Linked DNA regions of Mus musculus. The protein of the gene in region 1 interacts with the protein of each later gene in a pairwise test. Links are inferred from orthologs where the notes say so. Each region holds a gene or a part of one and is shown in the gene's direction. Other genes may lie near its edges. The genes, in order: Rhebl1, Prkab2, Txnl4a and Fhl3.

Evidence for each region.
Region 2: the proteins of Rhebl1 (region 1) and Prkab2 interact in binary tests that used the Homo sapiens proteins (3 or more experiments, as listed by UniProt). The link is inferred for Mus musculus from reciprocal best matches to the Homo sapiens genes RHEBL1 and PRKAB2.
Region 3: the proteins of Rhebl1 (region 1) and Txnl4a interact in a two-hybrid assay, tested with the Homo sapiens proteins (2 studies listed by BioGRID and IntAct). The link is inferred for Mus musculus from reciprocal best matches to the Homo sapiens genes RHEBL1 and TXNL4A.
Region 4: the proteins of Rhebl1 (region 1) and Fhl3 interact in binary tests that used the Homo sapiens proteins (3 or more experiments, as listed by UniProt). The two-hybrid records come from large-scale screens. The link is inferred for Mus musculus from reciprocal best matches to the Homo sapiens genes RHEBL1 and FHL3.

What each region holds. Positions count from the first base shown.
Region 1 is NC_000081.6:98,877,074-98,884,535, reverse strand, and holds Rhebl1 (GTPase RhebL1), read left to right. Parts: upstream 1-3,121; 5' UTR 3,122-3,334; coding exon 3,335-3,386; intron 3,387-3,956; coding exon 3,957-4,028; intron 4,029-4,691; coding exon 4,692-4,759; coding exon of another isoform or gene 4,760-4,771; intron 4,772-5,048; coding exon 5,049-5,131; intron 5,132-5,220; coding exon 5,221-5,277; intron 5,278-5,480; coding exon 5,481-5,528; intron 5,529-6,001; coding exon 6,002-6,083; intron 6,084-6,238; coding exon 6,239-6,331; 3' UTR 6,332-6,776; downstream 6,777-7,462.
Region 2 is NC_000069.6:97,655,340-97,662,566, forward strand, and holds the start of Prkab2 (5'-AMP-activated protein kinase subunit beta-2), read left to right. Parts: upstream 1-2,872; 5' UTR 2,873-3,030; exon of another isoform or gene 3,031-3,249; 5' UTR 3,250-3,274; coding exon 3,275-3,427; intron 3,428-6,910; exon of another isoform or gene 6,911-6,912; coding exon of another isoform or gene 6,913-6,933; coding exon 6,934-7,100; intron 7,101-7,227. UniProt on the Homo sapiens protein: Non-catalytic subunit of AMP-activated protein kinase (AMPK), an energy sensor protein kinase that plays a key role in regulating cellular energy metabolism.
Region 3 is NC_000084.6:80,203,848-80,211,070, forward strand, and holds the start of Txnl4a (thioredoxin-like protein 4A), read left to right. Parts: upstream 1-2,978; 5' UTR 2,979-3,054; exon of another isoform or gene 3,055-3,214; intron 3,215-3,306; 5' UTR 3,307-3,343; coding exon 3,344-3,496; intron 3,497-4,262; coding exon of another isoform or gene 4,263-4,382; intron 4,383-6,214; coding exon of another isoform or gene 6,215-6,253; exon of another isoform or gene 6,254-6,283; intron 6,284-7,223. UniProt on the Homo sapiens protein: Plays a role in pre-mRNA splicing as component of the U5 snRNP and U4/U6-U5 tri-snRNP complexes that are involved in spliceosome assembly, and as component of the precatalytic spliceosome (spliceosome B complex).
Region 4 is NC_000070.6:124,697,440-124,704,642, forward strand, and holds the start of Fhl3 (four and a half LIM domains protein 3), read left to right. Parts: upstream 1-3,259; 5' UTR 3,260-3,412; intron 3,413-5,957; exon of another isoform or gene 5,958-6,492; intron 6,493-7,203. UniProt on the Homo sapiens protein: Recruited by SOX15 to FOXK1 promoters where it acts as a transcriptional coactivator of FOXK1.

The sequences.
Region 1 (7,462 bases):
CCATCCGTAACGAGATCTGACTCCTTCTTCTGGAGTGTCTGAAGACAGCTACAGTGTACTTACATATAATAAATAAATAAATCTTTAAAAAAAAAAAAAAAAGACACCAGCAGCAACGGAGATGGACTGAGTACCAGGAGAGCTTCTCTAGCTACAACAGTGTGGGTTGGCACTATAGCTCAGTTGGTAGAGCCTCAAGCCCAGGAGTCAATCAATCATTAGCAGCACAGATCCTCCCAGCTCTCTGGAGTCAGAGGCAGGAGGATTCCAAGTTTAACAGGGTTACTTCCCAGTGTCCACATGACAGCTCACAACTGTGACTCTGGTTCCAAGGGATCACATGTAGGCAACACACCCATATACATTTTTTAAAAAAAATTAAAGAAAAGTTCAGGCTCATCCTGGACAATTTGAGGCTGGCTATTCATTATTTTGGGGGAAGCAAGGCCTTGTTATGTAGCTCAGGCAAGTTGGGAACTCTTATAAGCTGTGGCTGTAGTCCCTGGATTGAACACTTTCCTTTAGAGAAACCAATTACTTGCCATTTCCAGGGCCCAAAGCCCAAGAGGCCCTTGCTTTCTTATCCCATTCTGCCTCAAAGTTCAGGCTCCATCACTCATTAATGAAAGACACAGGAAGGGAGTGGGGGGTGGGCAGAGACAGAGATAGAGACAGAGACAGAGAGTCTGACTCAGCCAATAGTCAGCACACAGGCCCAGATACTCAAGGTCCTTTTGGACTTTCTACCTCAGTTGAGACTTCAACCCCAGGAACAAATACAGGACAGGAAACAAGAGAGCTGCTAATTCAAACCCCAGATTCCCAGAAAGAATACACTGTTTTTCTGGGTCAGCAGTTGGAAGGAGAGGCAGGTGCATCTCTGGGTGTTCCAGGCTAGTTAGGGTCTATGGCAAAGAATGCTCTTGGCCAGCCAGGGCTACATAGTATCTCCAACAAAGAAACAAAGAAACAAAGGCAAGGAAGCCAATCTTGTGGCACTCACCTTTACCCTAGCACAGGGAAGCAGAGGCAGGGAGATCTCTGTGAGTTCGAAGCCAACCTATTCCAGGAAAAGTCAGAGCTATATAGAGAGATCCTGTCTCAAAAAACTTAAACCCAATTAAAAAAACAATGAAATACAAAAACAATAAAAATCTCCCCAAACTCCATATTTTTTTAAGCCACTAAGTAATAGTGATGTTATTGTTATTATTATTATTATTACTATTTTCTCAAGACAGGGTTTTTCTGTGTAGCCTTGGCTGTCCTGGAACTCTCTCTGAAGACCAGGCTGGCCTTGAATGCAGAGAACTGCCTGCCTCTGACTCATGAGTCTTGAAATTAAAGGTGTGTGCCACCTCTGCCAACGCTGTTTATGATGATAATGATGTTTATTAAGTACCAAGAAGGAGGTGAATTCTTAGCCGTGGAAAACAAAGAAGTCCTGGGAAGCATAGCGTTAAGTCACAATTTTGTATTGTCGTGGCTAAATAACTGAAAAGGAGAGAGAGGTTCCTTTTTGGCTCAGAACTTCATATGGTTAGTCTATGACCACTTAGCTCTAAGTTCATGCGCAGTCTCACGGATAGTGGGTGCGTGTGATGGAAGAGTTTGTTCACGGCAGACAGCAAACCAAAGCAGGCATGAAGAGTCCAGAATGAAGCAGAGCCAGGCATGGTGGCGCAAGCCTTTAATTCCAGCACTCGGGAGGCAGAAGCAGAGTTCGAGGCCAGCCTGGTCTACAGAGTGAGTTCCAGGACAGCCAGGGCTACACAGAGAAACCCTGTCTTGGAAAAAACAAAAAACAAAAACCAAACAAACCAGAGTGAAGCAGAGCCTTAGGAACACCGGCCACCAGCGGCCAACTTCCTAGGTTCTACCTCAACGGGATGAACCCGCTGGTTAATTTGAAGCTGTCCATGACATACATACTTGTCTCCCTAAGGTTTTGTGCATATGTGTGTGTGTGCATGTGTGTGTGTGTGTTCTGGGGACTGCAAACAAGGCTGGCCTCATGCAGCTCCAAACTCTGAATAAATTTAAATGCCAGGAAAACAGATGCCATGTTTATCTCTTTTAGCAAGCCTGCAACAGTGTCTTGTCCAGAGCATGCGGAACATGGGCAACAGCCTTTTTTCTTTTTTTAGAACAAGGTCTTTTGGGCTCAAACTCACTACATAGCTGAGGCCGTAATGAGTTTGAACTCCTCCTGACCTTCTTGTCTTCACCTCTTAAATCCTTCGATTATAGACGTATGCTTTTCTTTTCCTTTTTCCCTTTTTCTGGACAAGGTCTTGGGTGGCTTGATCTTGTATAGCCCAGGCCAGTCTCAAACTCAGCATCCTCCTGCCTCAGTCAGTATTTGTTGAATAAATGAGTGTCCTGGGTATGATAAGGAAACCTAAGACTGCATACACACTGAAATAATTTCCCAAACAACAAGAACTCCAGTTCTGTGAAATCAGAGGCCTAGAACCCACCCCCACTCCTGAGAACAGGTTTCTCTGTGTAGCCCTGGCTGTCCTGAAAATCACTCTGTCAATAAGGCTGGCCTCAAACTCTGAGACATGCCCTTCTCTGCCTCTCGAGTGCTGGGATTAAATCCGTGCTTCAAGGGCCTAGAATCTTTTCAACAAAACCTCCAGCCCAAAGCCACGTGTAGTGGTGCACCCCTTTGATCCAGTACTGGGGAGGAGGAGGCAAGTGGATCCCAGTGAGTTTGAAGCCAGCAAGATCTATAGAGAGAGCTGTAGGCCAGTCAGGTTACACCAGTAAGACCCTGTCTCAAAAGCAAACACTCCAGCCGAACCACAACAGATATTTTCCTTTTCGTTTTGTATTTTCACAACAGGTGTTTTCCATCTGAGAGTCCCAGCTTCTTTGGCTAGGCAGCAAGTACCTCTAGGACCCCGGGTTCCTTTCTCTTTCTTTATGAATGAACAGGCTCAGGTCTACGCATGTGCAGCTCCCAAAGATCCCGCTCCACGTGAGGCCCGCCCTTCCCTCCTGTGGGTGACTCCGCCCTCCTCTATTCTAATAGACCAATGGGGAGCAGCATGTGGGGCGGAGCCGGGAGCCGCCCGGCTAGGTATCCCGCTCGTCTTGTCCCCTCCCCTGCCCCCCCCCCCTCGCCCAGCTCCCTTGCGTACAGCCGCTGTGTTGTGATCACGTGGGCTGCCCCGGGCGCGCGGCTTGTTTTGGTTTTCCTTGGCTTGCCGGGCGTAGCTTCAGCGAGCTACTCTTCTTCCCAGAGTCCACCTCGGCCTGCACCTCGGCTGATCTTCGGGTTCCCTCGGCCCGCACTCCTACGAGCCCCGCGGGGCGGCGTCCTGTCATGCCGCTGGTGCGCTACAGGAAGGTGGCCATCCTAGGGTACCGCTCCGTAGGTAAGTCCCCGCCCTCCCGAGAGCACGGTTGCTTTGTGGCCAGAAGAGGCGCGCTGTCGCGGAGATGTGACACGAGGACCCAATGTGGCCTGGGAAGAAGTCGGTTTTGCTGCCAGGAGATGGAAGGGTGGAGGGATGCTGGAAGAGGAGCGCGCAAGGGTTAAAGTGTACCGGGCTGTGGTTGCACCAGTCGTCCCCGCGTTGCTCTCTCTGGGAGCGGGGGTGGGATCAGTATTTGAAGGTGTGGTGGAGATCTCTGCCGGCTAGACACTTGCAAGTGTCCTTGGCCTGGTGCACTAGATCCCGGGGAATCTTTTTCAAAGGGTGAGATGGGGTGGGGCAGGAAAGGGCTTCCTGAAGCGTCACTGAATGCATCGAATCACCAAAACGTCGCGGAAATCTACTTGTTAGGATGATGGTAATAAAAGACAAAGGGTAAGCATTGCTTGGGAGCTCCCACAATCTGGGATGCTGATGTGAGGTGCCCTTTGGTCCTGGCCACAGTCCGAAAGGACAAAAGGTGTAAATATGGATGGATGACTATATTACAACAATCTTTGGTCCTTAAAGGGAAGACATCTTTGGCACATCAATTTGTGGAAGGCGAGTTCCTGGAAGGCTACGATCCTACAGTGGAGAATAGTAAGTAGTTGCATCCCCCCCCCAACACCCCCCACCACTTTGTTTTTTGTTTTGAGACAAGGTTTCTTTGTGTATCCTTGGCTGCTAGAACTAGCTTTGTAGACCAGATTGGCTTCGAATTCAGAGATCCTCCTGCCTCTGCCTCTGGAATACTAGGATTAAAGGCGTGCGCCACTACCACCTGGCATGAGTAATTTTCTTTAGTGTGAAGGGGATGGAACCTAGATAGACTGGGTGCCCTCTCAAACTCCATAATTTGAGATTTCTTTGTTGCAAAGAGGATGGTTTGTTTATAGGGTCCACTAATCAGCTCTGGGAGTCCCATTCTAGTGTCTAGAGCGTGGCGTTTGTGCCGTTCTAGACCAGGATAGTATAGATCAAGAGGTTCTCAGTCTCTGAGTTGAGACCCCATTTGCAACCCTGTACCTCCAAAAATATGTACATTGCGGTTCACGACGATAGCGAAATCATAGCTATGAAGTAGCAACAAAAATAATTTTATGGTTGAGGATCAAGCATTAGGAAGGTTGAGAACCACAGGTGTGGCTGAAGACAGTAAGTCAGTGTGTCACTCCTGGGGTCAGGACTGTATCGGAACACACATCACTGGGACCACAAAGCACCTCACAGTCAAGAAGCTTTCTTCTTTGTTTGTTTTTCCAGCTTACAGCAAGACAGTGACTCTTGGCAAAGATGAGTTTCACCTACATCTGGTGGACACAGCAGGGCAGGTACCAGTTGCGGTAGGGTGTCCAAATGTTATAGTTCAGCCCTAAATTATAAAGTCTGGTAGTGTGTGTGTGTGTGGGGGGGGGGGGGTTCATGTGGGATGTAGTATGAAAAGAAAGGCATTGAGCTGTTAGCAGTGTGCAGGGCTCAGTGGAGCTACTTCATAAAAATTTGTTTGATGGAAGAGACCGGAGCGAGGAATGTCCCGGGAGGGTCACTCGTGTGCTATGCCACTGGCTTACGCCGTTTGAAGGCATGGGTGTACATACTCACGTTTTTGTTTGCTGCTAGGATGAGTACAGCATTCTGCCCTACTCGCTCATCATCGGGGTCCATGGTTACGTTCTTGTATACTCGGTTAACTCTCTGCGCAGGTACGCACGGAGGTTTTTGAGTGGGGGCTTGTCAAGACTGGGCAGTTATCCTAGAACTAAAACCCTAGCTCTGTTTCTTATGTTTGAAGCTTTCAGATCGTTAAGAACCTGTACCAAAAGCTACACGAAGGCCACGGTAAAACCCGGTAAGTGGCTTTAGGACATAGAGACCTGAGGGTGTGGAAGGAAGCGAAAGGGTGAGTGAACTCTTCAAGGAGGCTAGACCTAGATCACAGTTGGCTTGTTTGGGAATCATCTGGCCTTGATGGAGTTGGAGTAGCTGGGGTCCATGGAGGATGGGGAAGGGGATCTTACAAGCATAACTGTAGCAACTGCTTTGTCATCCCAGGCTGTCGGTGCTGCTTGTGGGGAACAAGGCAGATCTCTCTCCTGAGAGGTGGGTAAGACTCCGCTGCTCAGGCAATGGAAAGTGACTTGTATCAGGGATCAATCGAGCTGTAGTCCTTCCCAGCTCTGATGCTTGACTGAAGCAATTTTACATCTTGATTGGTTTTTCGAGACGGGATCTTCACCACATAGCCCAGGCTGTCCTTTAACTCCAGGTCCTCTAGCTTTCCAAATAGTGCTCGCTGAGAATGTAGTGGTGGGTCACCGTGCCTAGCTGGTCCCCGAGCTTTTCATCCTAACTTTGAAGGTCACTTAAGGATAATCCTATCATAATTTATATTTCAGTTTTGCATTTACATATCATGCTTTTGTTTACGTATATTTTCTCTTTCTTCACCTCCTCAAACCTTGGGGGAGGGGTTGTGAATCATCAGAAGGAATCTAAACCCTAGAGATTTTTCAGAGAACTTGCCGACGTTGCTATCTGCTTTCCATCTTGGTGTGTTCCAAATCTGCTTCCAGAGAGGTGCAGGCAGTTGAAGGGAAGAAGCTAGCAGAGTCCTGGGGTGCGATGTTTATGGAGTCGTCTGCTCGGGATAATCAGGTGCTGAACTTAAAGATTGGACCCAGGGGCAAGGCTAACCGTGTTTTCCTACATGCTGATTGGTGGTGGGGATAGTTAGGAAGCGCTGTTTGCCTTGGGGCTGGATAGTATCGGCTCTGACCCAACTGATTGACTGCTGATCTTATTCCTTATAGCTAACTCAAGATGTCTTCATCAAAGTCATCCAGGAGATTGCCCGGGTGGAGAATTCTTATGGACGACAAGACCGCCGATGCTATCTTATGTGAACTCTTGGCATGGAATAACTGCCCTGTTTCTGCCGCAGACATTGTCTAACCCGCAGCAGTGGGGCAGACCCTCAGGATATAACTGCTATGGTTGCCAACTATGTCCCCTGTCCTCTGGGCACACAGTATGGCACTCTTATTTTTGCACACTCATCCCAGGTTCTGGTAGCCTGGATGTTAATGTTTACAAAGGGGCAAGATGTCTCAGGGACCCTGGCTTCTAACTCCTTGGTTTTCTAAACCAATTTTTACAGTCTGTACAGTAGGGATATGAGTCTTGTGCATTGATTACCCAGGACCCACCCTCCTGGGTAGGTTTTGGGTGTTGGTTGGGTAAGGGTGTTTGGTTCCTTGGCAGTTCTGAAGTAGAACTGTCTGCTGGGGTAACAATGTATATTTCCAAATAAACTGAGAAATCTTTTGTTGACGTTTGTGTCTGGAGAGAGCTGAGGACTGGTGGCTTCAGTATTTAGTATTCACTCTTGTCTTTCTCCTCACTAAGGACCCCACCCTAAGACTTAACCACTCGCCTTTTTTCATCTATTTTGATGTTTCTTTTTTGTTTGTTATATTTTTTTTTTTTAACTTCACCAAGATCTGTTGGGCTGCCCCACCCATCTAAGTTTGTGGGTCCTGAAGATCCCCTTAACTACAGATATACTGCCCTCTAGTGGCTAAATGCCATATGCCATCCGACTAGCTGTTGTCCTGAGACCATGACATTTGCTGTGTCCCCTCATTTCTAATGATGTCAAGGAGAGTAGAGGTGGAGACTAAAAGTGTGTGATAACCCATGAGAATTGAGAAAAGAATGTGCTTGGCGTACATGTGATCTGGCAACCCAGATGTGCCTAAGCCCCCTCCTTCCCCCACCCCCCATCCCTCTGTGGGGTTTCTCTGTGTAGTCCTGCCTGTCCTGGAACTCTATGTATGCACTGCTTACTAAGAGCCTTGTCCCTTTGATATAGCAGGCATTTTTCCTCCTGCTATATCAAAACATCTAGTCATGTTTGGAATTGTGGTATATATTTTAGGTGTTAAAGATTTGTTTTTGTCCTTTCAGTGTCGGTCACAGTAGGATGGCTGTTTGCTAGTAAGGTGTAGGTCTTTTTTTTTTTTTTTTTTTCTGAG
Region 2 (7,227 bases), on another chromosome or scaffold:
TGGTGGTATAAGGTTAAGACTTCTTGAAATCACTTAGATAAGTTGCTCCTGAAGGCTGAGCACATTAAACCAGTAGTCCCCAGCAGGAAGATGGACATGATGGACAGGTTATACCTAAGCAAGGTAATTGTATTTACTATTAGTCTGTCTTGCCTAACAGCATGGTGGAAACAAACCCACTCCAGACTTTTGACCTGGAACTCCCAAGGCATCATGCACTTTTCTCTGCTGTAGTGTTTTTAATAAATTCCCACTTTCCAGTTGAATAATGCCCACGAGTCTTCAAGATCCAGCTCCTCTCCTATCCCCCCACCCCCACCCTCCCAAGAACAGCTTCCTGACCCCAATGTGACCTCTGTACTCTCCTCTCATCTGGTAGATTCTGGTAGATTCGATTCCTCAGTCACTTTTTTTTCCCCAGACAGGTTTTTTTCTGTGTAGCCTGGCTGTCCTGGAACTCACTCTGAAGACTCAGAGATCCACTTGTCGCTGCCTCTTGGAGTGCTGGGATTAAAGACATGTACCAACCAGCGCCCAGCCCTCACTCGCATTTGATGGATGTCCTTATCACATGACACAAAGACAGATTCCTTTGCCTCATCGCTCTCTGAGTTAGTAACTAAGACAGATGCCTTGCAATTAATCTGTATTCCCAGTGCCCAGTGTAGTGCCTGGAGCATGGTGGGGCCTCAGTACATTGATGATAATTAATTGAATGAACATACTTAACAAGAGAGGTAAAAAGCATGAATACGTTTTTAAAGGATTAAATTGAATAGTGAACATCACTCTCCTAAAAGGAGATTAAAGAGTGCTTAGTAATAGCGCTTAGAACCAACTTGGTGGCCGACTGTTTTTGCAGAAAACTTTCCCGAGTAGACCACTGATGTGAATCTGAGGGCTAAAGCACTGTATGGTTTGAAACAGGTGTTGGTATACAACGTATTTCTTCAATCAAGCAGGTTTTAAAAAGTCAAGATCTTAAAACAGAAAACAGGACTTATCTCCTCCTCGATTCTCACCATGCACGAACGCCTGCTGCTGTGTCTTCTTGCTTCTCCAGCTCTCCAGCCCCTCTGAAGCACCCACTACCTCTCCTGGCTGTAGCTATTTATAGACCCGTTTATTCCCCTTCACTCAGTGAAGACCTTAGCACCTAACTCAATGCTGTGTCTATAGACACAGTCATTCCTGAAGGTGATGTTAATATCTATGCAATTAGTACTCCATCAATCCAATGGATTAATTAAGTAGGATGAGGTTCAGCTATATTTAATAGAAAAGTGATAGTCAACAGTGGTCTAACAAGACTGATATTTCTTTCCCCTTCATATAAAAAGTCTAAAATATATCATTTATGAGATGATTCCATAGCTGCATGGTTCCTTTTCCATTCTTTTCTTTTTGTGGGGGAGATGGGTGAGACAGGGTCTCACTATGTAGTTCTGGCTGTCCTGAAACTGGTTCTGTAGAGCAGGCTGACCTTGAACTCACAGAGATCTGCCTGCCTCTGCCTCTCAAGTCCTGGGATTAAAGATGTGCCACCATGCCCGGCTCAGTTCCCTTTTTTTATTCCACTGCTTTTAACTACCTCGTGATCTGAAGTGGCTGCTGGAGCTCTGGCCATTCTATGGACACCCTATACACAAAGAAAGAGAAACGGAGAAATTCTACTTACCATTTCCCCCTATCTATCTATTAGGGAGGCTAAGAAATGCATCTCTGTGGAGACAGACAACATCCTAAGGTTAGAGTCAGTGCTTCAGTAAAGAGGAAGGAAATCAATGTTAAGGTAGACCTCCAACTCTCTTTGCTACCTCACTGTTCCTTTTGAGTAATTACTTTCATTGTTTAAAATGTTAATCTATGTTTGAGTGTTTTGCCTACATGTTTGTATGTGCACCTGAAGGTGTTGTAGCGCCTGGAACAGATGATTATGAGCCACCTTGTAGGTGCTGGGACCAAACCCGGGTCCTCTAAAAGAACAGTAAGGGCTCTTAACCACTGAACCATCTCATCAGGGTTTATGACTTCTAATGGCTTTATGGTCGGCCTCATCTCACCGATCTACACACTTGTCTAAGATTCTGCCAGTGCTAATGACTGCAAGACCACTGAAACCTCAGTGGCAGACACGCTACTCTCACAGGACACCTCTCACTGTCTCAGCTCACTCAGTCTCTCCTGTGTCCAGAGTTCTTTGACCCCACTGGGCCCTCCATCAGCCTATTTTATCTTCACTTCCAGCCGACTGGTTTCAAAACGCTAGTCCAATAGTATATTCCCAGCCTACCTGTGCTCTCACTCATTAGCTGTTTGCATTAATCCACACAGCTAATCACAGTAACAGAAAACACCGCTTTGATGAGTTTGGGCATCACATAGAAGTAAGTCTTCTGCAGTAACTGCCATCACGTGTCTAGTCAATTCTCTGTCCTACTTTTTATTTCATGCCTCCTGGGACAACTAAAAAGGTTGCTTGGTAGAGGCGTACGCGGAATATGAAAATGTGGATCCACTATGCACCGCTGTCCAGTCGTTTGAGGTGATCCTGTTAAAAGTGCAGATTCTAATTCTGTACCTAGGGCACGGGGAGGCCTCGGATTCGGCTTTTCTAATAACCGCGTGCCCCATGGATAGACAAACTGCTTAGGAAGACAAGACGCCCCACTATCAAGCCCTGGGCGGACAGTTCACAGCCCTAATCCCGACCCGGACCCCACCCTCGGCCCCGCCCCAAGCCGGAGCTGCGCACGCACCCACCACAGAGGCGGTGCTGGTGGCTAGAGAGGCAGGCGACCCAGGCTGAGGAGGGGGCGGGGCTGGAGCGCAGGGGGCGGAACAAGAGGCTCGGTGGGCGGGGCCAGAGGCAGAGGCGGTACCTCGTCGCGGGCCTTGTAGCCATTTTAGGAGGAAACCCGGTTCGCTGGTTTGGGGCGCGGCTTCAATTTCAATAACTTTATTGGTCTCCTTGTACGCCGAACAGCCGGCGTGCGTGTAGCCACGCGAGCCCGGAGCGCATCGCCCGAGGTGAGCGGCGTGGGGGGTGTGCGGGACCGGGGCTGTGGGGCAGCGAGGGCTCCCGGAGCCGGTTCTCCGAGCCGAGGCGTCCGTGAAGCGGGTAAGGGAGGGGACCCCGGGCGCGGTCCCCTGCGGCGGGGATTCCCTTCCCGGGCGCAGGGGCGGGGCCGGGGCGCCCCTGACGCAGCCGCGGGGGTGTTCCCCGCCTGGTGTCATTCCCCGCGGCAGGTTGCCCCCGACTCGAGCTGCAGCCATGGGAAACACTACCAGCGAGCGGGTGTCCGGGGAGCGCCACGGAGCCAAAGCTGCTCGAGCTGAGGGCGGCGGCCATGGCCCGGGAAAGGAGCACAAGATCATGGTGGGGAGCACGGACGACCCCAGCGTCTTCAGCCTGCCCGACTCCAAGGTGAGGTAGCGGGGCTGCCGGCAGCTCCGCCCTTCTTGGTTCTTCCTCCTCATTCTCAAGGGTTATGGGCTTTTTAACTAGAAGGCTATTCCGCGGATAGAGATGCTGGGTGCTAATTCCTCCTAGATACTACCTCAAATTAGGATAGGGGCGCGGAGTTGTTTTCCTGCTGCTCAGAGTAATCTGTGGGCCAACCTTTTAGGACGAGTACCAAAAACCCATCCCCTGCCAGCCCCATCCTTGGATCTACGTGCAGGTTGCCCTCTTCCAGAGCTTGCAGGATGTATAGGTTGTGAGCGCGGGTGGAAACTTCGGAGGGTGCGTTGTCTGAGCTATTGAAAAGGGCTCAGTTTCTCACATTGGCCTCAAGATAGCTAGATGACTTCTCCCTGAAAATGTCTCTGTGTAGGTCTCCTTCTTGCTCTCTCTTACGTGTTCTGCATCACCTCTTCGATCCTCGTCCACCTTTGTATGGCTCTGAGCTGCCATCAGTTGATTACTTGAATACTTTCCCCTAGTCTTGGGGATCCATATAGGACATCATTTGGTTAATGGCTCAGATCTTTTTTTGAAACGTGCCGTTTTAAAATGTAGCTGTGAGCTTTGCACAGGAGAGCAAGTCACTTTACTTCACTCCTCAGAAGTACTTCAAAACGTTGCCCGGGGCTCAAAACCACCCTCTACTGACCTGAAGCCTTAGCTCTCAATTCCATAGACTTGGAGCCAGAGGCCACTTTTGGTCACTCAAAAGAAGAGCCAGATGGAGCTGACAGCAGTGTGATTGCTACCCTAATGTTCCTAATCACTTAGAAATGTCAGCATTAAATACATGTAATTTCTCCCGGTAGACTTTCTGGAGTGAAAAAGAAAACCCGGCCCTTGGGGATGGGGTGGGGTGGTGGACATTTATCACTTCCCAGTGAACTGAGGCTTAGGATAACAGAGTTTTATTTGCCACTTTGATGGCACATGAAATTTGAATTACACACCTTATTTTCTCCGATCGAGATTGAGAACGCCGTTAGAAAAGTGCGTCATTGAACCGGCCATTTCTTGGGGTTCCCTCTTCCCTGTTTCCTCTCCTCTAGGATTCCTCCTCATTTGGGCCCTGGACTCAGCCTAGATTTCCTTCTCCAAAGCTTATCTAGGATGACAGGCAGGCCGTGTATTTTTGCTCATTCCTACATTGATGACTCAGGATTTGGGTACAGTCAAACTGTGACTGCAGTAATTGGTGTCCTGAATAAGAGCCAGGCTGCTCTGTGTGGATTTAGGCCTGTTCTAGAACATTCTTTCCCTCATATCTTGCCCTTTGTGAAATGAAAAAAGTAGTTCAAACAATTACCCATGTCTTATCAGATTGAAAACTTTATAGTTCATGCCCTCCCCTCCACACACACACACACACTGAATTTCCTTAAACATTTGCAGGCTGTACTTTGAATGCTGCTTTGCTGCTGTTCGTGGTGATTTCGCTGATGGTTTAACTGGAGCAAACAGTTTTTCTGCAAGTCAGCAGCAGTCATTCCTACCACAGAAATGTCATGTCATAAGTGGAAGGGCTTTGCTCCAAAGCCAGGCATATTAATAGTTTAGAGCTTTCAAATCCTAAACTGAAAATCCTTAAGTCATAAACGTAATTGATAGGAACGGTGGGGCTGGGGGCATCTTTGCTTCAAAGGTCAGGGTTATCAATAGTCTTAGTCAGTGCTTCTCAGCCCTGTTTGTATGACAGGATCCCCCAAGAATGCTTTAAAAACCTTACGAGAAATCTGACACACTTATAAAATGAACTGTGTAATGAACTGTGTGTATGTCACCCTGTTTATACGGTGCTGGAAGGTCATGAAAGACTTCCTCTGGGATCCAAGCCTCTCCTCTACCAGCCACTCTGAAACAGATTTCAAACAGGTCAACAAATAGTATTTCTAACATTTTAGGACATTCCTCAAAGGTGACCGTTTAAAGCTGATATGATAGCGGCTCACACCTGTGATTTCAGCTGTTTCAGAGGCAGAGGCAGGAAAAACCTTGCCAGGCTGGACTGGAGTGAAAATTTGACCCCTAGAGAACGATAAAATATGTTTTTCCTTGTTTATTGTAATGTGATAAGAGTGTTGTTATCTGAAGGCTTTAAAAATATATATTCCCAAAATCCTATGAGGACTCAGAGACTCTGAGGGTTGTTTTGAGCCATATGTAAGCACTCCCAGTGCAACTGTCAGCCCCAGGGCATTGCTTTGAGGTTCCAGAGACCACCGTTTTGTCTTAATCCAGTCCCCTGAATAATGTAAAAGTCCCTTCCCTTTTCTTTCACACTTGCTTTGGTCTATATTTGTACTGTAGTCATAAGGACTATCGAGAAACAGATCGAAGGTAAACTTTTTTCATTTTGGAAAGAACAGGGGAAATCCCAAATAAATAAGCTAGACTTTTCTTACTCTAGCCCTCATCATTTCATTTGTAATGCCTGACTTGGTACCATGCAGTCTTATTTACCAGTCAGTGAAGCCATCCCAAAGGACGGATTAGCAAACTTTTTCTGTAAAAGGCCAAATAATAGATAATTGAGAGTCTGTGGGTTACACCCTCTGCTTTCACTTCCCAGGTCTGCACGGTAGCAGTGAGCTGTGGGTGATAAACACGTGGGTGGCTGTTTCCCAAACGAAAGCTTAGTAAAAGCAGTCTGGCTCATGGCTGCAGTTGGCCGACGGCTGTCCTGAGGATGGCCTTGGAAAGAAACTAAGGGATTTGTTTTTCTCAGAATCCTACAAACCCCATTTAGTAACGGATCTGCTTTTGCTCAAGGAAGCTGCTTTTGGTCGTGTGCTCCTAGAGTTCCAGGATGTCCTGCATCCTGCTGAGGGGATTTTATGACCTGGCCTAGGTAAGCAAGGGAGGTTTCATCACCGGTTCAGTGGTACCGGATCAGTGGCGTGGCTTCTGAATGCCTGTCGATTGATGGATGATGGTGCTGGAGATGAAACCCAGGGCCTTGTGCTCGGGAGGAAAGTGCTCTGCACTGAACTCCGTCCGTCTCCAGCCCTTAAAATGTGAATGCCCTGTTGTATAACCAAGGAGCTGAAACAGCAGTGCTAGTTACTCAGGAATTTTGGTATCTCTAACTGTAATAGAAAGAGAACAGTTTGCCTCAGAAAAACATATAGCTGGCTTAATTTTCCTTTAAAGAACCATACTTAACTTTCTTACAGTTTCTTATGAGGTGTTCAGGAGCATATCCTAATTGCTACATACAAGCGAGGCCTGTAATAGGAAGGATTTAGAGGTGTTTGGTTTTTTTGAAGGGTGATGCAAAGGTTCTGCAAGGAGAATGATGTGTGCCATATGTTCTTTAATATAGTTTGTTCATACCCTGATTCAGTTGCTGAATTTGGGCTGTCTGACTTTAGTTGACGCCTAATTTAATGCCCATTAAAAACCTTTGGGACCTCTTAAAAACCCTTGGGTCATAATTTATTCTAGGGATGACCTACTCCTTCTTACAGCTCCCCGGGGACAAAGAGTTTGTACCCTGGCAGCAGGATTTGGATGATTCTGTGAAGCCCGCCCAGCAGGCCCGGCCCACCGTTATCCGCTGGTCTGAAGGAGGCAAGGAGGTCTTCATCTCTGGGTCCTTCAACAATTGGAGCACCAAGATCCCTCTGATAAAGAGGTGAGGACAGGCGTCTCTGCTGAGTGTGCAGTGTGCAGGAGCAGACACCTGGCTGCCTTCCCTAAGGAAGAGAGCGGGCCTCAGGAGCTTCTGACAGCATTGTGTGTCCACGCTTCGGGACTCTGCT
Region 3 (7,223 bases), on another chromosome or scaffold:
CAGGTAGTTTTTGGTATCTTTGAAAACAAATAAGATTCAAAGTCCACCCTGCCTTTCTTTCTTTGCATCGAAAATGGCATCATCTGGCATAAAACATGGCCTTAATCACTGTTTCACACAAGATGAAGTAGTTTAAAGGCAAACCACTACCTCACACAATATGAGGTGTGTAACAAGTTGGAGACAGTTGGGTCTTGGCTGTCCTTTGAAGCACTTACTAACAATGCTGGGCCAGGGATCAGACTTGGGCATCATTTCACAGAGGTGCCAGTCCTCCAAGAAAGCGAGACAGACTTGAGGAAGCAGTTAGGCATGACCATATGAGGGGAAGGGGACACCAAGAAAACAAAATTCTCTAAATCAACATGAGCAAGGATCATATACATTCACAGAGACTGAGGCGGCCTGCACAGTGCCTGCATGGATCTGGATCTACACCAGGTCCTCTGGGTGTGTGCGTGTGCGTGTGCGTGTGCGTGTGCGTGTGCGTGTGCGTGTGCGTGTGTGTGTGTGTGTGTGTGCGTGCATTATTGTGGCTTCCAGGTTAGTGTTTTTATGGGACTCCTGAGTGTGTGAACAAGTGATTCTCTGATCCTTGTGCCTTCTCTTGGGAGTTTTCCTTCTGCTAGTTTTTTTTCATGTCCAACTTTGATGTGACTGCTCTTGTTTCACCTTATGTCTTATTTGGTTACATGCTATCTCTTAGAAGCTGGTTCTTTCCTAATGAGAGATAGAAAGAAGAAGGAGCAAAGCTCCTGATTTGGGGGGGGGGGGAGCTGGGACGAATAAAGGGAGAGGAAACTGTAATCAGGATATAGAATGTGAGAAAAGAATCTATTTTTAATAAAGGGGGAGGAACCTAAATGCCAACGAGCTAGTGGAGAAATAGTACAGAATGGTGTATCTGTGTAGCTGAATATTAAAATAAGAGGAAATACTGATGTGTGGAACTTTAGAGCATGATGCAATCTAGACTTGATAAACCAGCTAGGAAGGACTACATATAATTCCATTTATTGAAATGTCTAAAATAGGTCAATCTACAAGCAAAACATAGATTAGTGATTACCATAAGCTTCAGGGATAAGGAAATGGGAAACAATTACTTTTTCTTCTCAGAGTGACCTTTTCCCTAGAATTTGATTGTAGTCTCAGTTCCAGTTGTCTGACCCTCCCTGATGATATTTAGAGTATATCTACAGTATATGTTAATAAATATTTGTATTAAAGTATTTTAAATTTTTAAAGATTTATTTATTTATTATATGTAAATACACTGTAGCTGTCTTCAGACCCCTTTTCTTCTCTCTCTGTTCCTGCTTGATCTGGCCCTGTTCACTCCAGCCCAAAGATTTATTTATTTATTATACGTAAGTACACCATAGTTGTCTTCAGACACTCCAGAAGAGGGCATCAGATCCCATTACAGATGGTTGTGAGCCACCATGTGGTTGCTGGGATTTGAACTCAGGACCTTTAGAAGAGCAGTCAATGCTCTTAACCACTGAGCCATCTCTCCAGCCCCTAAAATTATTTTTATTTATTTTTGAGACAGGATCTTATATACTTCTGAATGGCCTCAAACATACTATGTATGATCCAAGGATGAAGTTGAACTTAAAAAAAAAAAAGATGTATGAGTATGAATGTTTTGCCTGCACATATGTGTAAGTGCACTGTTTTGTGCCTTGTGCCTGAAAAGGCCAGAGTGTGCTGAGTCCCCTGGAACTGGAGTCATGGACGTTTGCCCACTGACATACGGGTGATGGAAATCGAGTCTGGGTCTTGTTTTATTTTGTGTGGCTTAGTGTTTTGCCTGCATGCATGTCTGAGTAAGGGTGTCAGATCTTGGAATTACAGCCAGCCATCATGTGATAGCTGGGAATTGAACCCTGGGTCCTCTGGAACTGCTGAGGCAACTCTCTAGCTCCAGAACCTGGGTTTTCATGAAAAGCCACAAATGCTTTTTATTTTGGAGTCATCTCCTCAACCGTTGCTTTTTAATTTGTAATTTTTATCAGGAGAGGGATAGTGGTGACTTGTACTTAATGCCAGTAAATGGTTAAAGTGGCAAACTTAAACACGTGTGTGTGCGCGCGTATGCGTACACACACACACACACACACACACACACACAGATATGGTAAAGAAAAGTATTCCTACTTGTAATAGCTTAAGAAGATGGTTCAGGAACACTGCAACGTGGTCTTGTAGGGAGGAAAATATGTTCAATTACCAATTGTGGAACATTATGGGTGAAGAGGAATGGATCTGTGAAAGAGAAATTAGGAGGATAATGGCTGAAGCCAAGGAGATCTGACCTCTGGGATAAGGTACAGGTCCAAAAACTTGATTATATCCAAGAGTGTCTGATGATGCAGAAAGATATTTTACAGAAGAATGCATAGATAGGCCTATGGAAAAGATCAGGAGCATGGCTGAAGTTTGGCCAAAGACTTGCCATATTTCTCAGCACAATAAAAAAATAATAAGCCGGGCGTGGTGGCGCACGCCTTTAATCCCAGCACTCGGGAAGCAGAGGCAAGCGGATTTCTGAGTTCGAGGCCAGCCTGGTCTACAGAGTGAGTTCCTGGACAGCCAGGGCTACACAGAGAAACCCTGTCTCGAAAAAAAAAAAAGAAAGAAGGAAAAGAAAAGACAAAAATAATAAAAATAGAGACAAATTACCCCACAACACTAGACGCGTTACGAGGTGGGGACGCTTGGGTCTCGACCGTGCTCTGGAGCACTTGCTAAAGAGGCTGAGCGCGAGATTAGACTCGGGTATCCCCGCCCCCTCGGCAGAGGCACCGAGTCGCCAAGAAGGCGAGCTCGACGCGCTCACCGACGGCTCGCTCTGCGCAGGCCCAGCTCGCTGGGCGGCGACCAGGGGTGGGGTGGGGACCAAGAGGCCGACGGCGACGTCCCCGCGCATGCGCATGACGCCAGCGTGCGCCTGCGCAGCAGCGCCGAAAAGCGTCAGCGCGTGACGGCGCGGGAGGAGCTGGTGCTGGGTGGAGGACGCGGTGTTTGGGCCGCGTGGGCTCACACGAGGTTAGAGGTCGTCTGGTGTGGCCCCATGGGGCAGGGGCTGCCGGGGTGTGTTCCCTGCGGAGGTGGCGATTCGAGGGTGTGGTTCCCGTGCGAGCCGAGGCCCTGTATGGGCTTTGGGCCCGGGGCGAGCAGTGGAGGTTTGGGGTGCGGTGGCCTGCAGGTTTGCAGTGGGGCCCTAGGCAGAGTCTGGGGTGCAGGCCAGGTTCTTGGGGTCCGGATGGGGTCGCGATCCTCTGCTCTTTCTACCCACAGGTAGCTCGCGGCGTCCGGCCGCGCAGGCGCGCTCAAGATGTCGTACATGCTTCCGCATCTGCACAATGGCTGGCAGGTAGACCAGGCCATCCTTTCGGAGGAGGACCGCGTGGTCGTCATTCGTTTCGGACACGACTGGGACCCCACTTGCATGAAGATGGACGAGGTTCTGTACAGCATCGCCGAAAAGGTAACTCATGTGCAGTGTTCGCCGTGCTGGGCCCCGCAGGGCGGTTTGGACGCCAGATTTCAAGCCCGAGTCCTGTGTTCCATGCAGAGACCCACAGAGAGACGGGGTTCATGTACGGGCAAGGTTTGTGCTAGAAATGGTTAGAGTTTCTTAAAATTTGAAGAAATTTATGATTTCCTCCTAAAATAAGTGATGATAAATTTTGGGGGTTTTTTTGTGATTACGGAAGGGGATGGATGGTCCGAGATAGGTCTTGTGTATGTATCTATATGTATATATAGTCAGACGGACCTTAAACTCGCCGCCTCAGTCTCAGAGTTCTGGGATTACCGGGCACCACTGTGGATGATGTTTTAAAAAATTTACTAGGGCCAGGTGCGGTGGCATATGCATTTAATCCTAGCACTCTAGAAGCTGAGGCACTGATCGTTCTAGGCCAGTCAGGACTGTATAAGACTGGGTCTCAAAAACAATGTATCGCCGGGCAGTGGTGGCGCATGCCTGTAATCCCACCACTTGGGAGGCAGAGGCAAGCGGATTTCTGAGTTCCAGGACAGCCAGGGCTACACGGAGAAACCTTGTCTCAAGAAAGAAAAACAATGTACCTTATGTGTAGTCAACAGAGTGACTTTGCAAGCTTTGTTGAGCTTGTTGGAGCTTACTTAGGCGGCTTAGCTTAACATTATTGGCCTTTTCTCAATATTTTATGGATTTATTGTATTTATGAAGCAGAACTTTTAGGTTAATACCATGATGGACTTTTTAGCCCCCACCCCCTCTCTGGGAGAGAAGAAAACCGGATTCACTGTGTCGCCCAGAGGGACCTTGCACATTCTTTCCTTCTCCCTGCCTCCTCCCAAGTCCTGGGATGAGCCTCAAGCTCTTTGTAAGTTACTTGATTTGTAGCTTGCAGTTATTCAAATGCTGAAAGTTGAGTTTGGGTGGAACTGGTGTTCTTAGTTTTCCATATTTATAAGCAGGGTGGCAGTACTTGTTTCCTGACACTGGAAGTGTAATTGTCAGGCACTGTTACACGATTAGGAGGTTCATTCTGTGAATTCCTCTTCACGGTTTTAGGATGACTTAACTTTTTTATGATTGTAACAATAGGGCAAAGACTGTAATATTTAATGATAAGTAATTTCAATATTATTTTATTTACTTTCTTATTTATTTGAGACAGGACCTCCCTACATAGCCCTGGAACTTGTGTAGACATGTATCTATATGTCTTTAGACCCTGCAGACAAGTCTATCTGCCTTTGTCTCCACCTTCCAGTGCTAGCTTTAAAGGTGTTTGCCACCATGCTTAGCCTGAAAGTCAAAGAAGAGTTAACACTGATAGAAATGCTGGAACTATTTTCCTTCTCACCCATGCTGCTAACGCCTGCTGGCTTAAAGTAGTTCTTAGCTTTCAAATGACGTCTGCCACAGGATTGTCACTTTATTTACTTGAGCTATAAGTGAGGCCAGGGTCAGGTGCCTTGCCACTGAACCATAGTCACCATAGCAAAGACATTCTCTGGAGTAAGACACGGGGATGTGTGCGTGTGAAGGAAAAGCAGCAGCATTTGGCTTTCTGCTTCCGTGTTGCGGAGAGGCTGGTGGAGGGCAGTTCTGACATCCAGTTATCACAGGTGTCTCTGCGAGTGCTTCTCTGGAAGCTTGGAACACGGTTGGTCTGGGCTGAGGCCTCCAGGGGATTCGGTGCAGATTAGCTTCTGAGGAGCAGCTTCTCAGCCAGCCCTGCCCTGTTCCTCTGGGAGTCTCTCTCCTGCAGGCGTGCAGGCTGTCCTGTCAGTCAGGCTAGAGGTACGAATGAGGTGATTGGGTCCCTCAGAAGGCAAATGCAGAGATTCACTGAAGCACCACTACAAGCAGGTCCACGGCTGAGTCTGCTTTAGTTGAGGACAGCTGTCCTTTAGTTATTCTGACCTGAAGGTGGTTTGACCAGTGTCAGGAGGGCTTTCCTGTCAGGAGGGCTGTGTCTGAGGCCCTTTGCTCTTCCCCAGCTAAACAGAACTTAAGCGTTTCCCGTACTTGTTATCTTGTTGTCTCAGTGCTGCTCAGGTGCAGACAAGGCCAGCCATCCCACTCACCAGACATGCGCTGTATTTGGTGTTGGGTTCATTGGTCTCCTTCAAAAATATTTCCTTTAGTCTTTTAATTTGCATTTTCTTTTGTCCAAAAAATGTGATTGCATTCTTAATGAGCTCCCTTTTTGCTCCTCTTAATAACTCTGGTACCACCATGCTAGCCAGGTGTCCTGTGCCCGTCCTCCTCAGTCACTCTTCACCTCGGTATTCACTGAGGCAAGGTCTTTCCTTAACACTGAGCTTGCCAGTGAGGCTCGTCTTGCTAGCCAGCTTGCTCTAGGGATCCTCTGTCTTCCATCTTTTAGGACTAGAATTAAGGTAGGCCATCATATCTTCTTGATATGGGTTTCTGGGGGTCTGAACTTGGGTCCTGCAAGCTCTTTAACCACTGAGCAATTTTTTCCATACTCTTAATAAACTTTTAATACTATGTTTTAGTATAGTTATTAAAAATGTAAGTTTGAATTACATTAAAATCACTGTTGTTCTACTTCCTTAGTGTAATGGCAAAATACACATTCGTAAGTTTGGGAACTCCAGGGAATTTTCAACATAAATTTTTGAAATTTAAGATTTTAGTATGTAAAGAACAGTATAACTATTTAAAAATCTCCCTCCGCAGAAATGGAAGATAGTGGGAGATCTTCCTCATCTTGTATGAGTCCTGTTTGGATATCCCAGCTGTTTTAAAGTGAGTAAAAGTTACATGTGTGTGCAGGCTGGACTTGAGTGCCCTAAAGTATGTTGCTTTAGCCAGTGTGCTGCTGCTGCTTGCAGTGTGCACCTCCCGTGATGCTGGAGTTACTGAGTTCAGTACTTGAGGAAGAACGGTGGTAGGGAGCACGCAGACTTAGATCTAGTGCTCACTGAGTAGGTCCTCTGTAAAATGACTTCAGGCAGTTTTGAAGAAAGATTATTTCCTGAACCTTCTCTTTTCCCATGGGGTAGGAATGTACTTTGTCACAAAAGTGCTTCTAGAGATCAGAATTCCCTTAATACTGTGACATACAAAAATGGTGAGTGTTTTTAATATACTAAAAAGCCCATACAAATGGCATTTAATATCTTCAGGGATGAAATGTGATGGTGTGTTCTGAAAGAATCATTGTGGCTGGTGAGACAGCTCAGCAACTAGAGGCATTGCCACAGAATCCACATCAGAGTCAAGGAAAGAACCAATTCCCTCATTTATTCTCTGACCGCCACACATATGTGATGGCGTGTATGTTCTACATATATATACACGTTATACATACAAATGCATGACAAAATTTTAGAAGACTATACAAGACAAATAATGTCCATAGGGCTTTTAAAGAATAATAGGGAGCCTGTCCTGTACGAGACTAAGGATTACTGTTGCCCATGCTTTCTAAAGTTCCATAGCTGCAGGAAATAAATCCACTGGGCAGATGCAAAGCAGTGTTTTTCCTTTACATTTTAGATTTTCAAAATGGTTATTGGAGGAAAAAAGGAGTGGACATCCACTTTAATCTCAGTTTTATATAAATCAGGTGGAAATTGTAGTGAACTGTGAACTGGTAAATGGCTGGCCAGTAACAGGAGACTATATGCTGCTGGTCCATATCTTACCCACATGGGAGCATGAGCCAGAGCCCAGGCAGCCCCTC
Region 4 (7,203 bases), on another chromosome or scaffold:
GCCAGGGCTATACAGAGAAACCCTGTCTCGAAAAACCAAAAAAAAAAAAAAAAAAAAACTATTTTTAAAATACAGAATATTTTATGAATTTGCAAGTCATCCCTGCACAGGGACTGTGTTAATCTCTGTATCACTCCAATTTAGTATCCGTATGGCTGAGTCAAGTACCATTTTTCTCACCTTTGAGAAGAAGATTAGAAATGTGTATTTAAGGCTGGTGAGACAGCTCAGTGGGTAAAAGCCCTTGGCTGACTCCAGGGCCAGCAAGATGCCTCAGTGGGCACAAGCACTCGCCACCAAGCCTGACTATCCCCAGGGACTGCATGGTAAGAAGAAAGAACTCATTCCCACAAGTAACACCCCTGATTTCCTACTTGTGTATCCATTCACATACACACACACACACACACACACCCCACTTTTAAAGAATTTATTGTATTTTTATTTATGTGTTTTATTTATGTTTGTCTTTATGTGAGTAAATGTCACCTGTGTTCCTGTCTGAGGAGGCCAGAAGAGGGCATCAGATTCCTTGAAGCTGGAGTCACAAGCACTGTGAGGGGCCAGATCTATCTGCTGGGAACTGAGCTCAGCTCTTCTGGGAGGAGCTACACACTGGCTACTTTTTAGGTCAGCCTGACACAAACTAAAGCAATTTTGGAAGAAGGAAGATCAATTAAGAAAATGCCCCCACCAGATTGGCATGTAGGAAAGCCTATGGTACAATTTTTTGATGGTTGGTTGATGTGGAAGGGCCCTGCTCACTGTGGGTGGTGCCACCCCTGGGCTGGTGGTCGTGAGTGCTATAAAACAACAACAAATAACAACAAACAACAACAACAGGCTGAGAACTCATAAGAAACAAGCCAGTAAGTAGCATGTTCCACCATGGATTTTGCCCAGGCTCCTGCCCTGACTTCCCTTGAGCCGCTGCAATGTGGAATTGTAAGCTGAAATAAGCCCTTGGCTCTCTAACTTGCTTTTGGTCATGGTGTTAGAAAGCTAACAGCAAGCAGGCTCATGCACCAAGCCATCTCTCTAGCCCCCACACCCCTATTGCATTTTTAAAGAGAACTGACTCCAGAGGGTTGTCCTCTGACACAAGCACACAGGTACACTAGCACTAGCATGCACATGTGAGCCCACATACACACAAACCACCCAGATATACACCATATATATATGTATGTGTTTATTGGATAATTACATGAGTTTATATATGTGAAGTATTTAGGGAATGGTGCAAACTGGAAGCTCAGAGTTTTGGCTCTTGGTAAAGGCCTTCAATAGCACTTCAAGTCATAAAAAAAAGAAGAAAGACCCCAAGATGAAGCACCTTTACTGCTCACTAACAACTCTTCCTTTCCTGAAGGCTCTGCCCTAGTTATAGTTTCTATCGCCGGGAAGAAACCATGACCAAAAAGCAAGCTGAAGAGGAAGCGGTTTATCTGACTTCTACTTCATCATAGTGCATCACTGAAGGATGTCAGGACAAGAACACAAACAGGGCAGGGACCTTGAGGCAGGAGTTGATGTGGAGACCATGGAGGGGTGCTGCTTACTGGCTTGCTCCTCATGGCTTGCTCAGTCTGCTTTCTTATGGTATCCAGGACCACCAGCCCAGGGATGGCACCACCCACCATGGCACTGGGCTGGCTCTTCCTCCATCAATCACTAATTAGAAAAATGCCCTACAGGCTTTCTTACATCCTGATCTTATGGAAGCATTTCTCAATTGAGGTTTCCTCCTTACAAACAAACAAACACCTCTAGATTGTGTCAAGTTGACACAAAACTAGACAGTACAGTTTCCCACCATTGTCCCCACTTCAGGTCAGGACAGACAGACCCCTCTCGCTGTCTACTCCAACCAGGAATGATAGTGTTTCCTGCATTCCTGTACATAGAGCTCCCTAGACCTGGGAGACAAGTCCCAGAGGAAGGGCTCACCCTCAGACTGTCTGATAGTAGGTGCCTGGCAGGGAGTGGCAGGGGGTCCAAATGAAAGCAGTGTGTGACATTCATCCCTCATTTACTGCAGGTCAAACACTGGAGTAGATACTGGGAATGCAGTAGTGAAAAAAAAAAAAAAAAAAAACCGACCCAACCTCTGCCCTCGTGGCATTTGCAATTTAAGAATCAACAACATTTAAGCAATCCTTTAACTCTGAAAGAAAACCTGGCCTAGAGGCTGTCTTAGGACCTAGCAACCAGACCCCTGATACAGAAGGGAAGGCGCCACACCAGCCTTGAAGGGTCTTAATCCCCAAAATGCTAGCAAGGCTGGATGCAGCCTTGAATTAGGGGGGGCCTCTCTGGACATCTGAATCATCCCCGAGACGCAAAGGTTATTACCAGGGTTAGTTTGTTGTCTCTTGTTTTGCAAACAGCACAACAGAGCTCCCCCACCCCCACCCCGCCCTCCAGATCAAGGCTATTTATTCCTAGTGACAAGCCTGAGGATCCCAAGGGGGGTGGCCTCAAGGACCTGGATGGGCCTCGTGTCCCTGGCAGACACTAGTCCTCCCTTCCCGGAATAGGGTAGAAGCTGGAGGATCAAAAACTGCACAAGTTCCCTCCCTTCTTAACCACCCCTGCCTGCACCAACCACTCGCACTGTTCACACACCCTCTCGAGAAACCCAAAGCCAGGGAGGCCGAGGATTAGGGTCTCCCTGAGCCTCAAAGGTCAAAACTATTCCTGGGCACTATAGAAACCTCAGTGCCAGGGCACAGTTGAGGATGGGGAGGTTGTTGCCTGTGCTTTCGCCAGTCGCTTATAGAATAAAGCCCTTTGAAATTGAGGAGGATAAAGGCTCGCTCTCTTTAGCCCAAGTTTCTAGAAAAAAAAAAAAAACCTTGATCTCCGCTGGTAAGGCAGAATCAAAACCACGCCTCCAGCCGGCTGGATTAAGGCCTCCTTCCCAAGCTAAGGTTTAGTGTAACATCTGGGGATGAGCTAGAGGGAAAAGAGGAAGGGAGGTCTGGTCTCCAGATGGACTCTAGCTAGTCCTAGGAGCTCTGCACCCCTGGCCTGAGATCGCTTCCAGCCGTCCCCCGGGGTCCGAAGGGCGCAGGAGGCGGGTTAAGCTGCAGGGGGCGAGCAAGGAGTGGTCGAGGAGGTCAGAGCACCAGGTTCGACTGGGCTGGGCTCGCCGCAGGCAGGAGGGGGCGGGGTCTGGCCCTTGCGGGCGGGTTGGGGGCCCGGGGGCGGGGTCCGGGCGGGGCGGGCCCGAGCACTTCCTCGGAGGCTTAGGGCCGCGCGCCCACTCGCCCACACAGTCAGTCGCAGCCGGCTACCTCGCCGCTGCTCTCTCGGCCCCCCTCCGCCTGGCCCACAGGTAGGAGCCGCCGGGCGATCGGCTCCCGCCCCACCCACGCCGCGCGCGCCCAGCTCCCGCGCCCGCTTCGAGGTGAGAGTCCCCCGCCCCAGCTGCGCTCGGACCAGGGTCGCTCTCTGGGCCCCTCACCCCTGTCTTCTGCTGGGGCATCCCGAATTCGGGACCCCACGCGCCTGCACGGACCCCACCGCTCCGCGCCTCCCGGCCGGGCGGGGACCGCCAGAGTTGCAAGGGGTGGGGACCAAGTTTGAACTAGAAAAGCTACAGAGATCAGCAGGGTTGGAGAAACTGAGGCTCTTAGGGAGCCTGGTAGAACAGACAAGGACGCGCGCCCCAGGAGGCTACCGGGACCACTCCAACGAGGGCAGAGAATGGCCGGATGAACTTCTCGAGGCACGGCGGGGACCCGGGTTCTGGGGAGCATTTTAAGAAGCAAATGTATGGCCCCAGGGAACTCATTGCTAGCACCCTTCCCAGGGCCTTGGAGGGCCCCGAGGCTGGAGCTTGTTAGACTAGCGCTAAATCTGCCTCCCGGAGGCCTAAAGAGACTCTCAGGTCAGAGACATAGAGACGTCGAGAGAGACCAAGACTTGGATATGAACAGGGATAGAGATCCCCAGAGTGGAGGCCCTACTGGGACACAGCTCCAGAGATACAGGAACACCTTCACCCAAACACAAAGACGGGTACTGACTAAGCTCAAGGGTACTGAGAGGTACGGAGTGGAGGCTAGAGTTCGCTGAGGAGAGACACCTAGTGTGTTCACTGACAGCTGCCCCAGGCTTGAAAGGGTGGAGGCAAGGCTAGGGGGAAATTGACTCTTAGCCAGCCCATCCCCCAGGAGGCAGAGGACCTGAGGCTGTAAAGCTGAGCTGAAGAGAGAGAGAGAGCCCCATACACACACAGCCACTAAGACAGCGCCAACTTATTTTTAAACTCAAATCTTGGACGCTCTGCTTCAGCCCTAGGGGACTCTGGGGTGAATGAAATGTCCCTCTCCTGTTCTCGGAGCAGCTGCAGGATCTGCTCCCTTCGCCCTAAACTGCTTTGACTTCCAGGCCCTGTGGGGAAGAGGGGCAGTGGAGAGTTTGGGATTGGTGCCTGGTTGGGGGGGGGCTCTAATTTCTCCCCTAAGTCTCTTGTCAAGGGGGAGGGGTCTTCTCTGAGTTACAGCTGTGGGGTCTGGCCAGGGTCCTCCTGGACTTGGGATGGGCGGGGGGGGGGGGTTGCGGGAGGCGGGGAAGGGGGATATACTAAAGGGTTGAGCAGTTGGCATGGGTAATTGGAAAGACTTCTGGGTGTCTTCCAATGGCAGGCTGGCAGCCGGGGAAGACAGCCAGCTCTAGTGTATCTCCTGTTCGCCCTCCCTCCCCCCCAAAGGATGACTGCCCCTTCCACCACTACCAAAGCATTTCTAGGCAGAGTTCCCCTCTGATGGATAGGACACTTCTGCTCCAATTGCTGAACAGCCTTGGCCATGCCCCTAGCCTGCCCCTGGTATCTTGTACTGAGCTCTAAAGGGGACCTATACTCTGTCCTTCCTTTTCGTAAGCTGAGATGCAGTGGTCGTGGGGTGTGTATTTTGTAGATGACAAGGAATCTAGCAAGTATGTGCTCCTGGGAACTAACCATCTCTAAGGTCTTTAAAGTCCCCCCCACCCCACCCTGGTATCCCACTGGCTGGGCTAGAGCTTACGATGTGTACCAGTGGTTCCCTCAGACTTCACTAAGACTCCCAAGGTCACATCCCAGGTTAACTCTTGCTTCGGGCCTACCTGAGACTACCACTGTTTGGCTCCAGTAGGAGTTGAGGGGCTTGTTGTAAAAATACAAGTGACTAGCGTTTACTTACAGTGATTAGCGTTTACTACAGACTTATTACAGAAGCTGTCATGGGGATTATCACATTTTAGCTTGACAGCTGTCCTAGGAGAGGGAGGTAGTAATAGTATCTCATTTAACTGGTTGCACCTATACTCTCAGGGAATGAAAACTGTATACCCAAGGTCACAGGATTTCAAGTCAGGTGTATTTTTTGTGACTCAAGCAAGCTGTTATCCACTGGACACCATACAGAAAGATATCCTGCCACTCAGCTCTGAGAAGTTCACTCTGTGTGTGTGTGTGTGTGTGTGTGTCTTTTTTTTTTTAATATTTATTTATTATATCTTAAGTACACTGTAGCTGACTTCAGACACACCAGAAGAGGGCATCAGATTTCATTACGGGCGATTGTGAGCCACCATGTGGTTGCTGGGATTTGAACTCAGGACCTCTGGAAGAGCAGTCAGTGCTCTTAGCTGCTGAGCCATCTCTCCAGCCCTGTGTGTGTGTGTGTGTGTGTGTGTGTGTGTGTGTGTGTGTGTGTGTGTGTCTGTCTGTCTGTCTGTCTGTCTGTCTGTCTTACTTAAGTCAGGTATGGAGATAATGTGTGTTCGTGGAAATAGCAGATTGGGGTCATTTGGAAGAGCCACTGTCTTCTCTAAACCACACCCTCCTACCCCCCCACTCCTCTACCCCTTCACCTCCCCACCCCTCCAGCCCCCTCACTCCCCCACCCCCCACCTGCTCCCAGGAATACAAACTGTCTCCTAGCTCACCCTTTTAGTCCCCCAGCCTTGCCAGGCATTGTGGGGGGAAGGGGGGTTGGGAGGAGATAGGAGACAAGTGGGCCTTGGTGCCCTTCACTCTGTCCTCATTAGAGACATAGGGACTGGGAGATTCTGGGAGGAAGCAGAAGACACACCCATACCCTATTTGGGGTGCCTCATCTCATTGTGGTGACTGGCTCTGAGGGGGTGGATCCAGGGCCAGCCTGGGCCTGGGAAGGTAGCTGCTGCCGCTCCTGCTAGCCAAGCCCGGAAGGAAGGGCTCACAAGTGGACACATGGCCACAGGCCACCTGTGTTGCTGTCTGTTGTCCAGTGGCTAACAGCCCAGGCAGTCCTCAGATGCTGGGCCAGAGGAAACCAGGACCTGAATGACAGGGGAGAGAGAAGGAGGGGCTCTCTCCACCCTTCAGCATGACCGCTACCTGAGGACTCTCCACTTTGAAGACTCCCACTTTGGTCGCCTTATGTCCTGCTTTGGGTGTGAACCAGGTGTTCTCCCTCCTTGTTGAAGGGAAAGTTCAAACTCATAAGCCACAAAGAGGTGAGCCCTTCAGGTTTGGGACATCTGTTGCTGCCTGAAGTCTGAACTCTAAGGCAGACCAAGGTGTTTGGTGAGAACTTCCTGTATTTGCTGAGCGGGTATGTGTGTGTGTGTATGTGTGTGTGTAGTGTGTGTTGCCTTTCCTTCATCTTAAGCCAGGGCAGCCATGGAGAAGGGGGATGGTAGGTTCCTCTGTGCATCCCCCCCACCCCTTTTAACTTCCTCCAGCCTCCTGTGCGACAAGGACAGCATCCCCACCCTGTGGGCCCTGCGGGGATCTTCTTCACTACCCAGCCCTTTGAGAGCTTGCTTCAAAGTGGAGTAGGGTGGAGCTGGAGAACTCTGACTTTGGGGCCGGGGGAGACTGGAATTGGCCAGCACAAGAGACTGGGAACCCCATTTCACTGCCCCCCCATTCTTCTTGCTCCTGTTCCAGAGGCGGCAGTGTTGGTGACCTCATCCCACAAGCATGCTTTGTTCCTGAGAAAATGGAAAGTGTCTGAGGTTTGGTGGGGGGCTGGGAGTCTGCAGCGACAGTGCTCAGGACTCCCCTTGTCTTACTCCCCCTTAAGAAGGGACCCCACTGGGGCTCCTGGGGCTCCTGCCTTCTCAGCTTTCACTACTCTGACCTCAAACTCTGAGAAATCAGGGAAGGTGGGCAGAGGCTGCCTGTCCAGATTTAGGGGGCTTTGCAGAGCTTGCAAAGGCACC